2 linked regions of the Schizosaccharomyces pombe genome follow. Each later gene encodes a partner of the first gene's protein in a complex. Each region holds a gene or a part of one and is shown on either strand. Other genes may lie near its edges.

Region 1 (6,503 bases):
CTTTATTAACTAAGCTTTGGTAGTATCGTTTTCTTGATGAGAATTGTGTGCGCTTTTATGCTGCTGAGATTTTATCAAGTATCGAGTATATGCACTCCTGCGGTATAATTCACAGAGATCTCAAGCCAGAAAAGTATGTTTGAGTAGTGGTCATTAAATGTTCGTTTCCTTTTCCTAATTCTAACCTATTTTTTAGCATTTTATTTGATGGAAATATGCATGTAAAAATTACCGATTTCGGCACAGCCAAAATCCTACCCCCTAAATATGTAAATAGCCCTGATTACACTACCTTTCCAAGCTCCTTTGTTGGCACTGCGGAATATGTTGCTCCTGAACTATTGTCTAGACAAGTTGTTTCAAAATCGTAAGAAAACCTATTATCCCAGTCTATTTTTTTTCTGACAAATATTTAAGTTCCGATTTATGGGCTTTTGCGTGTGTTGTTTATCAAATGATTGTTGGTTCCCCTCCTTTTCATGGCAGCAATCCTAATAATATTTTCAAAAAGATAATGAGCCTGGAATATGAGCTTCCAAAGCTCTTACCACCTGATATCGTTCCTTTGTTTAGCCATCTTTTCCGTATTCAGCCATCTGATCGATCTACAACCCAACAAATAAAACAATTTCCTTTTTTTGCTACTATTACTTGGGACAATTTATGGACTCAAGATCCTCCTCCTATGCAGTCATTCCGGCCTAATTATAACATAGCCATTCCTAATGCTCCTGCTTATTATCGCTCAAATGTGACAGCCGCAGCTGCTGCTAATGCTGCCGCGGCATTTGCTTCTGCATCCATTGTAAAGCATCAGGAAACTGCTCGACGTCAGGAGCTTCCTACGGTAAATCGTTTCACTGCTCCAACTGCTCATTATGGCTATGCTTCACTTCGAAGCCATCAGATGCCTGTTGACAGACTTTATTACAAGTTGGTTCCATCGTCTGAGTCGATCATTGAATCTACCTCGGTCTTCGTATCACCCATTCCAAGTGTACCTGAGGGTAATAAGTTTCCATCTGGACTCTCAAAAATGTTTTTGAAAAGAAAGCAAAGGGTTATGCTATTAACTGATGTTGGTCGATGCGCTTTTGTTTGTAAAGGAAAACATGAGAGACTTTTTATCGAGATGGAGGTGAACTTGAAGGATTCCAGTGTTGTAGTGATTTTTGATGAAAATAGTTCCAAGCGATTCTTGATTGAAGATAAGGTCCAGTCCTGGATAATAGAAGACAGTTCCGGGGATGTCACCAAGTATAAAGACAAAATCCTTAAGTTTGCTGATGTTGCGTCTTCTCATCAATCTCGTTCTTCAGAAGAGAATGTAGAAGAGAACGAGGAAGAGTAACCCCATACCTTGTTTTATTTGATTTTTCAACCCATTTACTACCTTCTTTATATTTTATTATTTGTCGTCAGTGTTTTGGTAATATTTAACTATTTAAGCTATACATAATTAGAAATTACGACGCACCTAGGAAGTCGCAAGATGGAGAGGTATTATGTATACATATATATGTATAGTATTTATAATATATATACTTGAATTAATTTTATGTTAAAATTCCATTTCTTTTGGTGAGATGTTAAAATTATAATATTAGTAAGAAGAGAGAGTTAGATAGGATCGATTTAAAGCGCATACTCTTGATACCAATAAAAGTTTTGTGGTATCAAGGAAATAATGTTTATCAACGTTCCAAATTAAAACAGAAAAAGAAAATGATAAATGTTCAGGACCCATTATGCTAAGCTCTGTGATATCAATCCTCATCTTGTTGACATATGTTACATCATGTGGGCCACAATTAATAAAGCTATTAAAAAAGAGTTAGAAATATCAGTTTCTCTTACTTTTAGAAGAATTTTCAGAAGGCATTTTTTCCCAAAATAATTGAATTCTAGCAAGCAGGGCGTTATCGTTTTGAATGGGAATAACACCTGACAGAGCTTGCATTACTACTTCAAAGTCTGCATCAATTAGCGTGTCCCACATTCCTTGTATAACCGCAAGAGAAGTGGCTTGCAATAACCTGACAGTTTGACCTTTGCTTCCACCTAATAAAAACAGGAGATCCCATATACGTAATTGAGTATGGAAGGGCACGCATTGATGAAAAACAGTGAGATACCAACGTGTAGCAAAAGCAGATGGTTCTGCTCCAATTTCCGCCAGATGTCTGCCTGATTGTGTAAAACTTAACTCATGCTTAAGCATGTCAAAAGCCTTTAAAAGTGTATCAAACCCGGAAGAAAACAAGTCCCCCATGCCTCTATTTTCCAATAAATTTACCATCATTATAAATGCTTGTTCTTCGGGATAGTAAATGAGCAAGGTCGCAGCAATAGAAGCCATTCCTTGAACGTATCCAACACGAGGTATATAGAGAGCTACAGCATGAAGAACTCTAAATAGTAAACGTTGCCCTCCAATGTAGCGTTTTCGGAATAAGAAATGTGTAGCAGCTGTTCTGGGAACATCTAGGTCAATTTGAACATCATAGTCACAAATCTGCTCGTTCAATTGGTAATACTTGTCAATCAGTTTTTTATCAGGAAGAGAATCCACAAGAAAGGACCACCACGCAATAGATCGCCAACAATCTGGAATCCCCTTAAATGTACGTAAAATTAACTTACGAGTTTTTCGAAAAGAATGGAGCTGATTACCGGAAACGAGGTGTATTGAACACATCGATTTCCATTTTTGAATACGGGAAAGCTCTTTAGCTGATATTTCGTTGCGGTCATGCGACTCGCCGGGAACAACCATGAAGATGCTTTCATCAACGTACTTCAGCATGTCATCATGGCCGATTAATTTATTGCCAAGACGTTTGGCAGGGTTTGGTTTATCTAATGTTGGGTCTTTACTAACTTTATAGAACCCTAAATTATTAACATTAAAGTCTGAGCGATAGTTTCCGTAACGATCCACATTTTCCAATGACTCTTTTGTATCGATTTCTTGAACTTTTCCATTAATAGGTTCTGGTATATTTAAATTATTCTTGTCTTCTTGTAACCTGTACAACGACCGAATTCGTTGCAAATTGGTTGTTCTAGTTGGGGAAGGGTTTTCCATGCTCTTTCAGATATATCCTCAATTCCGTCACTCTGGAGAAAACAGATTACCTACTAAACTGTATTAAAATATCCAACACAGAAAGATTTAACAGGGGGGAATTGTTTCCGATGTAGTAATGTTTACGGTCCCAAAAGACCGTCTATCCCCATATAAGTCAGTACGTTAGATCCCAAAATCAAAATAACCAAACATGAAAATCTTTTTTTGACGTTTTTATAATTTTTCAAGCAATAAATGCATTCGTGCAAATGCTTATGAATTTGGTTCTCGCTACAAATTTATTGGCTCTATGTCATTTCCATTGATGAAAACTAGTTATAAAGTAGAGACCGAGACCCGATCACAAAACAAAAAAACGACACGCTATATTGCTTTACTGTAATTACATAGCTTTTCGCTATTTTGTTTAAAGAAAAGCTAATTTATCACTATTGATGCTTGACGAAATGCTCCCTATCGGCACATTCAGCAGGTGCTCAAGTTATCCAACAACATCATAAGCACTAGACATTAGATATGCCGGTATGTTCTAAAGTTTTGAATTTTTGTTGCTGACATGTTATGAAAGGCCTATCATTCCTCCTTCTTAAGTCTTACGGACGTCCCTACCACGGGAAACATAGCAATGCTGCCGTTGAAAACCAAGTTTCGTGGACCGGCTTATCCTGGTATGTTCCAGATATTTGTCAACTCTGTTTAAAGACTATTCTTAATGTTATTAGAGTACTTTCTAACATTTTTTATACAGCTGATGAGAGTCAAATGGATATTATTGATGAATGCATTGGGCTGTTTCGCGCCAATTGTTTCTTCCGCAATTTTGAGATTAAGGGACCAGCAGACCGTACTTTAATTTATGGAACATTATTTATCAGTGAGTGCTTGGGAAGAGTTAATGGACTCAATTATCGTGATGCTGAACGTCAACTTAATAGTTTAGCGTTGGAGAATTTTTCTATTCCTGGCTCTGCTGGCTTTCCCTTGAATGCATTATATGCTCCTCCCCTTTCTCCTCAAGATGCTGGTAAGATTCACCCAAACTGTGGCATTAGACATATAGATGTTTGTGCCGCTAATAGCTTTCTTGCTTTTTTTTTCATTTGCTAACTATTAAAAAAAGAAATAATGCGTACATATCTTACTCAATTTCGTCAGGAACTTGCTTATCGTCTTTTGTCCCATGTATATGCAACTGAAAAGGATCATCCCAGCAAGTGGTGGACTTGCTTCAGCAAGAGACGTTTTATGAACAAAGCTTTGTGAGTCTATTAATTAATAATTTGGCTCATACTGTATTTCAAAGCCTTTATGTTTTTCCGTTTCCTTTATTTCAAATGCGGCTTATAAAGTTTTTGAAGCGTACGAATGGCTTATTTAATGTAGGCAGTTTTATACGTAGATAGTAGATGCAAAAATAATCGCTTTACTTTCATGTACAAGTTATCAATTAGCTTTGTTAATTATGCTAAAGGAATATTTGAATGATTAAAGTCGTAATATTCAATGTTGGTTCAAAAATTTTTATTGAAATCGTAATTTTGATTTTTGCAAACGGCAGACCCAATAATGAGGATGGTATATCCATTCAAGCATACTTCGTTTGTCCCCCATATAAGTCGTGTCGACCGAATTGTGCTTTAAAACCTCAAATCCCATACTATCCATCACGTAAAACAGCTGCTCGAGAGTCAATTCAACGAAAGGTTGTTGCTGGCTATCACTGTTAGAATTAGAAGTACCTTCTGACTCAAAATGATACAATAAAGGCCCGAGATTTATCCAATAACCTCCATCTACCAAACAGTTTTTAATTGTATCCAAATAGTCCAGTATGTTTTTTGTAGTGTCTATAAAGAAGCAGGTAGCTACTACTTGAAACGAATCACGACTTTCTTCGGTGCCGTATACCTCCAGGAAATCCCCGGCTGCCATTGAAAAGTTTTGTGAATTCCGCAGATATTGAGAGGGAACTGCATCAGGAATATTTAATGAACGCACCTGGTCATCACGCATGACATGGTTCGAAAATGAATGAATATAAGGATACACAAGAAACTGATTTTCCTGCTTTACGCAATTCAGTATGAAATGCGACGTTAAAAGCATAAAATATGAGAACTCATTTCCTTGGCATGCAAAGCCTATTAAATGTTAGAAGCTATGTCCAAAAATCCAAATTTAGAAAGAAGTTAGAAAACATGTAATCAGATAAATAATAAATCATGCTATTTTTGATTGATAGTATCAAGTGTACCTACCTTCCACAGCTATATCAAAGGCCAATCTTCCTAAGCCGGAACCTGGAACAAGTACACGAATTTTAGATCTGTCTATAGAATCAGATGGGAAAAGTGAATTTAGTTCCTCGATGAAAGGAGCATATGTAGTACGGCGTTCCTCAACACATTCGGTCGACCAATCTCTCGCAATTTGCTTGAGAGTGCTTGAAACTTTTTGCATCATATCAACATTGACATGAAATAACTCATTTTGATCGAAATCACTGCAGAACACAGGAATGGCTGCGTTAGCGATTGCTTCAGCAAGCACGCTGTTCTGCTCGATACATTGATCAATCCTTGAAAGATGCTTTAAAAAATTGTTGTCAGAGTCCTGTAAGAGTAAGTCCTTGTGTTCAAAAGACAACCTGCTCATCGATTTTCTCTTCTGTTGTGTTATTGTATGAGCATATTGCCTGTACAAAAAGAACGCGCTTAAAACTTCTTTCAAAACTTTTACTTCTTCCTCATCATATTCCATAGTTTTTTTTGATGTTTCTGAGCTCTATCTAGACTTTAATATTTTTATCATCTAAGTCGCAATTTTGGCGTTGTGGAGAAGTTAAACCTCTAACTTGTTGCTTCATTGAAGTTGGAAGTGTTGAAGAAACCAATAAGTTAAGAATATTATGGTTAATATAATTATGTTTTATGTATTTCATTAGCTTTTCAAGTTATGTTTATATCTACTGTGTTTGATTGCAATATTGAATCATCTCTGCTGAAAATCCCTGCAACGCGGTGCCTCTATGAAAATAGTGTTTGCCTTTTGCAAAAATCCCATAGGTTTTATTTGGATAGTTGTCAGACAATATTTTACAACAGCAGCCGCAAAGGAAATTCACCATGCTTCAACAATACCGGAACAGCTAATCTTCTGAAGCATCGTTATAGTAGTATTGTGAGTTTTGTAGATTATAAGAAAATAATATAAGAGAATCTTGGTGCACGCAGTAATATCATACAATATTTATATTGCAGCTTATAAACGAGACTGGAAATACACGTGAAAAGGTAGTCAGGTTAAAAGTTTAACCCTGTGACATCTGGCTAATCTTTTATCCTATTGCGCAGTTAAAAGCGGGAATTACTTCTTTTTCTTATATTGTATCAAAAATTGTTGGCTTCAGTGA
Region 2 (3,344 bases), on another chromosome or scaffold:
ATTGTTAAAGGAAGGACCTTAAGCGCAGAACAAATTCTGGATTTGTATAAGGGTGTTTCAGCAGCTAATCCCAGTGGCTATGAATGTTTGTTGACAGGATATGCCCGTGGAATAGGAAGTGTAAAAGCAATAATGGAGATAGTTCGCTCCGTAAAATCCAAGAATAAGAAGGCTTTTTGGGGTATGTGCGTTAGAAGTTGCCAATTCCCTTGAAGACTGACATGCTGACGCTAAAAAGTTTTTGATCCAGTTTTGGGAGATAATGGAAGGCTTTATGTCGAAGAAAGCATTATCCCGCTGTATAGAGAGATGCTCCCTTTTGCTGATTTAATTACACCTAATGGGTTTGAAGCAGAGTGAGTACTTTTAAGGAACAATCCTGCAATGAGTTTGAAAATCACTGACTTTTACTTAGAATTCTTTCAGGGATGCGCATAAATTCAATCGACACAGCATTTAAATGTGTGGAATGTCTACAACAAAAATATAAAGTTCCACGGGTTGTCATTTCATCTTTTGTCGTTGAAGAAAACGGCGTAGAAAAACTCTACTGTATAGGATCTTCTATATATTCCAAAAGTTTTTTTGTTCTGATTCCCGTGATTCCTGGGATATTTCGGGGAACTGGTGATCTATTTACAGCACTAATGGCAGCTCATATTGCTGAGAGCCCGGATTGTACTGAGAGCCTTGCCTCTATAAAGGAGGATAAACTTAAGAAATCAGTAGAAATGGCCCTTAGTTCTGTGCATGAAGTGATCCAAAAAACTGCCGACCGAATTTCTGCATTAGGTGTTGAAGAATATCACCCAGCTTATGCCGAACTCTGCATAGTTAATAGTCAAAATAGCATAATAGCTCCATCCAAATTATTCGAAGCAGTATACTATTATTAAATTTCGGATCTTTTATGCGTCTAAAATATGTTGGCCTTACTGTACCAAGGCCTGCTGTTTCAAAGTTGATTTTTTACTATCCGTTTTTCGCTTTCTTTTTTTGGATTGCACGTGAAATTCACAAAATATAGATTTTTTCAGTGTCTTGTTTCGTTTGCCTTTTTTACATGCTAACTTGGTGTTTGTTTTTCTCTTAAATAAAGGTTCATTACGATACCTCTCTTTTGCGAAGTATACAATGTTTTATATTAGAATGCTTATTGAAATTAATTTAGAAGTTTATAACTATTTATTCCATATCCTAAAGACTGTTGACTGGTTTCAAAATTTCGCAACCAAGGTTTATAAAAGCCATGTATTGGTACACTTCGAATTAGATAAAGTAATTAGATTCAGAACTCCTAATATACTGATTAATTTTTTTTTTTTTTTTTTAATTTCTAACATTTTAGATAAAATATTCAGTATATCCATAGACGGTAAAATAGTAGAAGTTTACCTAAGAAGCAAAAGGTAATCTAGAACAAAGAATGAGAACAAAAAGATTGTTAGTTCTTTAAAAATATATATTGAGTTCATGGTTTTAATATGATCTGTTGTTTTCTTACATGTTTGCAGATGCCTCAGTATAAGGATTTATAACACTATATGAACCTGAGTAATAAGAATTCCCGGGTCCGTCACACGTTAACCATCAACCATGCTCTCATTAGATTATAACAATATATTCATTTACGAGTTACTGACAGAAAGGTTTTCAAGGTATGTGAAACAAACAATAAAGAATTTCACTAATTTATAGCGAAAACCCGTCGTCGATTGATCAAGTGGTAACTGATTTTGATGGCGTCACGTTCCACATTTCAACTCCTGAGGAAAAGACGAAAATCTTGATCAGTCTGTCTATGAAATGCTATCCTGAGCTTGTTAATTACGGTACTCTGGATTTACTGAAACAGATTTACGGTGCTTATGTGCATGAACCTGAAATGGGATACAACTTCAGTATTCTTATAGACTTACAACAACTTCCCGCTACCGATGAGGAAAAAGAACAATTAGCTATGTCTATTTCTATGTTAAAAAGAAACGTTTTAGCTGCTCCCTTCCACCGTGCATTCACCAAACAAGCCGAACTAGCTGATTTGGCTCGTAAAGACCCGGAAAATGCCCCTATGCTTGACAAGCAAGCCACTTCTCAGGAGCTCATGGCAATTCATTATCGTGATGAAGAAACTATTGTTTTATGGCCTGAGCATGATCGCGTTACAGTCGTCTTTTCAACGAAATTCCGTGAAGAGACTGATCGCATCTTTGGCAAGGTATTCTTGCAGGAATTCGTTGATGCCCGTCGCCGTCCGGCTATTCAAACCGCTCCTCAAGTGCTCTTTTCCTATAGAGATCCACCTTTGGAGATTCGTGATATTCAGGGTATTCAAAAGGGTGATGACTTTGGATTTGTAACATTCGTTTTATTTGAGCGTCATTTTACACCTCAAAATCGTGAAGATTGCATATCTCATATCCAGGTTTTCCGCAACACCCTACACTTTCACATTAAGGCTTCCAAGGCTTACATGCACCAACGTATGCGTAAGCGTGTTGCTGACTTCCAAAAGGTTTTGAACCGGGCCAAGCCCGATGTGGAATTGGAGAGAAAGACAGCTACTGGTAGGTCATTTGTTCGTGCTTAATGTTCCGTCCCATGTTGATCCTTTCTTTCATCGTATCTTCATACGTAGTTATGATCTTTATATATGCTTCATGCTTCCCTCTCCTCGTAACAAACGTGAATTGTTTCTCACCCTTTTTTTCTATTCAAAGCTGGGTTGATTAAATGATGCTAGCGCAAAATACAGGAATATCAATCTTTGATTGTAGATACACACGTTACATAAGAGATGCTTATTTTTTGAAAATGAAAATTGTATTATACAAGTCATAAATAGTAACTGTTCTAAAGGACAAACTTTGAATAGCTAGTTAAGCCGTAATTTTGTAGCGCTATTGCAAAATACTTAGAAGAAGGAGAAAATAATCGCAAATTGATTTGTAAAAGCTCCGAAAAAGGAACTTCCTCATAAAATTTAAAGTATATTCTTTATATCCGTTTTCTGAGTAACATTATAGTTCTCGAAAAGAAGAACGTCTTCTTCCTTCGTGACTATCAGATTCATTTTTTCGTTTTCTTCTTCGACTAGTTTCTGTCGAGTCGTCGAGGTCATAAGCTGGACTACGTGTATGGGGACTCGACAGGGAAGAAAGAGAAAACAGTCTGTCTGATTCCGAATAGTCTGCACGACGGCGGAGGTTTGATGCATTGTTTTTTAAAAGACCTTCGAATCCACGAATAATGTTGCCAGTACCCGATGTTTTTTCTAAGTAACTGCCTTCCAGCCTATAGATAGAGTCCTCGAGACCTATTAACGAAGTTTCCAACAATTGTCG

Evidence for each region.
Region 2: arc3 (region 1) and arc2 share a complex: the UniProt entries of both Schizosaccharomyces pombe proteins name them as parts of the arp2/3 complex.

Annotation. Positions count from the first base shown.
Region 1 is NC_003423.3:3,109,309-3,115,811, reverse strand, and holds arc3 (ARP2/3 actin-organizing complex subunit Arc21), read left to right. Parts: upstream 1-3,574; 5' UTR 3,575-3,607; coding exon 3,608-3,613; exon of another isoform or gene 3,614-3,659; coding exon 3,660-3,759; exon of another isoform or gene 3,760-3,839; coding exon 3,840-4,115; exon of another isoform or gene 4,116-4,211; coding exon 4,212-4,354; 3' UTR 4,355-4,612; downstream 4,613-6,503. Other genes in the region: pdk1 (serine/threonine protein kinase Ppk21/Pdk1), read left to right, coding at 24-133, 197-367, 418-1,351; SPOM_SPBC1778.09 (GTPase-activating protein), read right to left, coding at 1,844-3,088; SPOM_SPBC1778.07 (carnosine N-methyltransferase), read right to left, coding at 4,613-5,232, 5,350-5,851. UniProt on the Schizosaccharomyces pombe protein: Functions as a component of the Arp2/3 complex which is involved in regulation of actin polymerization and together with an activating nucleation-promoting factor (NPF) mediates the formation of branched actin networks.
Region 2 is NC_003424.3:2,749,224-2,752,567, reverse strand, and holds arc2 (ARP2/3 actin-organizing complex subunit Arc34), read left to right. Parts: upstream 1-1,585; 5' UTR 1,586-1,596; coding exon 1,597-1,658; intron 1,659-1,698; coding exon 1,699-2,590; 3' UTR 2,591-2,844; downstream 2,845-3,344. Other genes in the region: SPOM_SPAC6F6.11C (pyridoxine-pyridoxal-pyridoxamine kinase), read left to right, coding at 1-181, 239-356, 416-896; NuA4 histone acetyltransferase complex subunit Eaf6, read right to left, coding at 3,021-3,344. UniProt on the Schizosaccharomyces pombe protein: Functions as actin-binding component of the Arp2/3 complex which is involved in regulation of actin polymerization and together with an activating nucleation-promoting factor (NPF) mediates the formation of branched actin networks.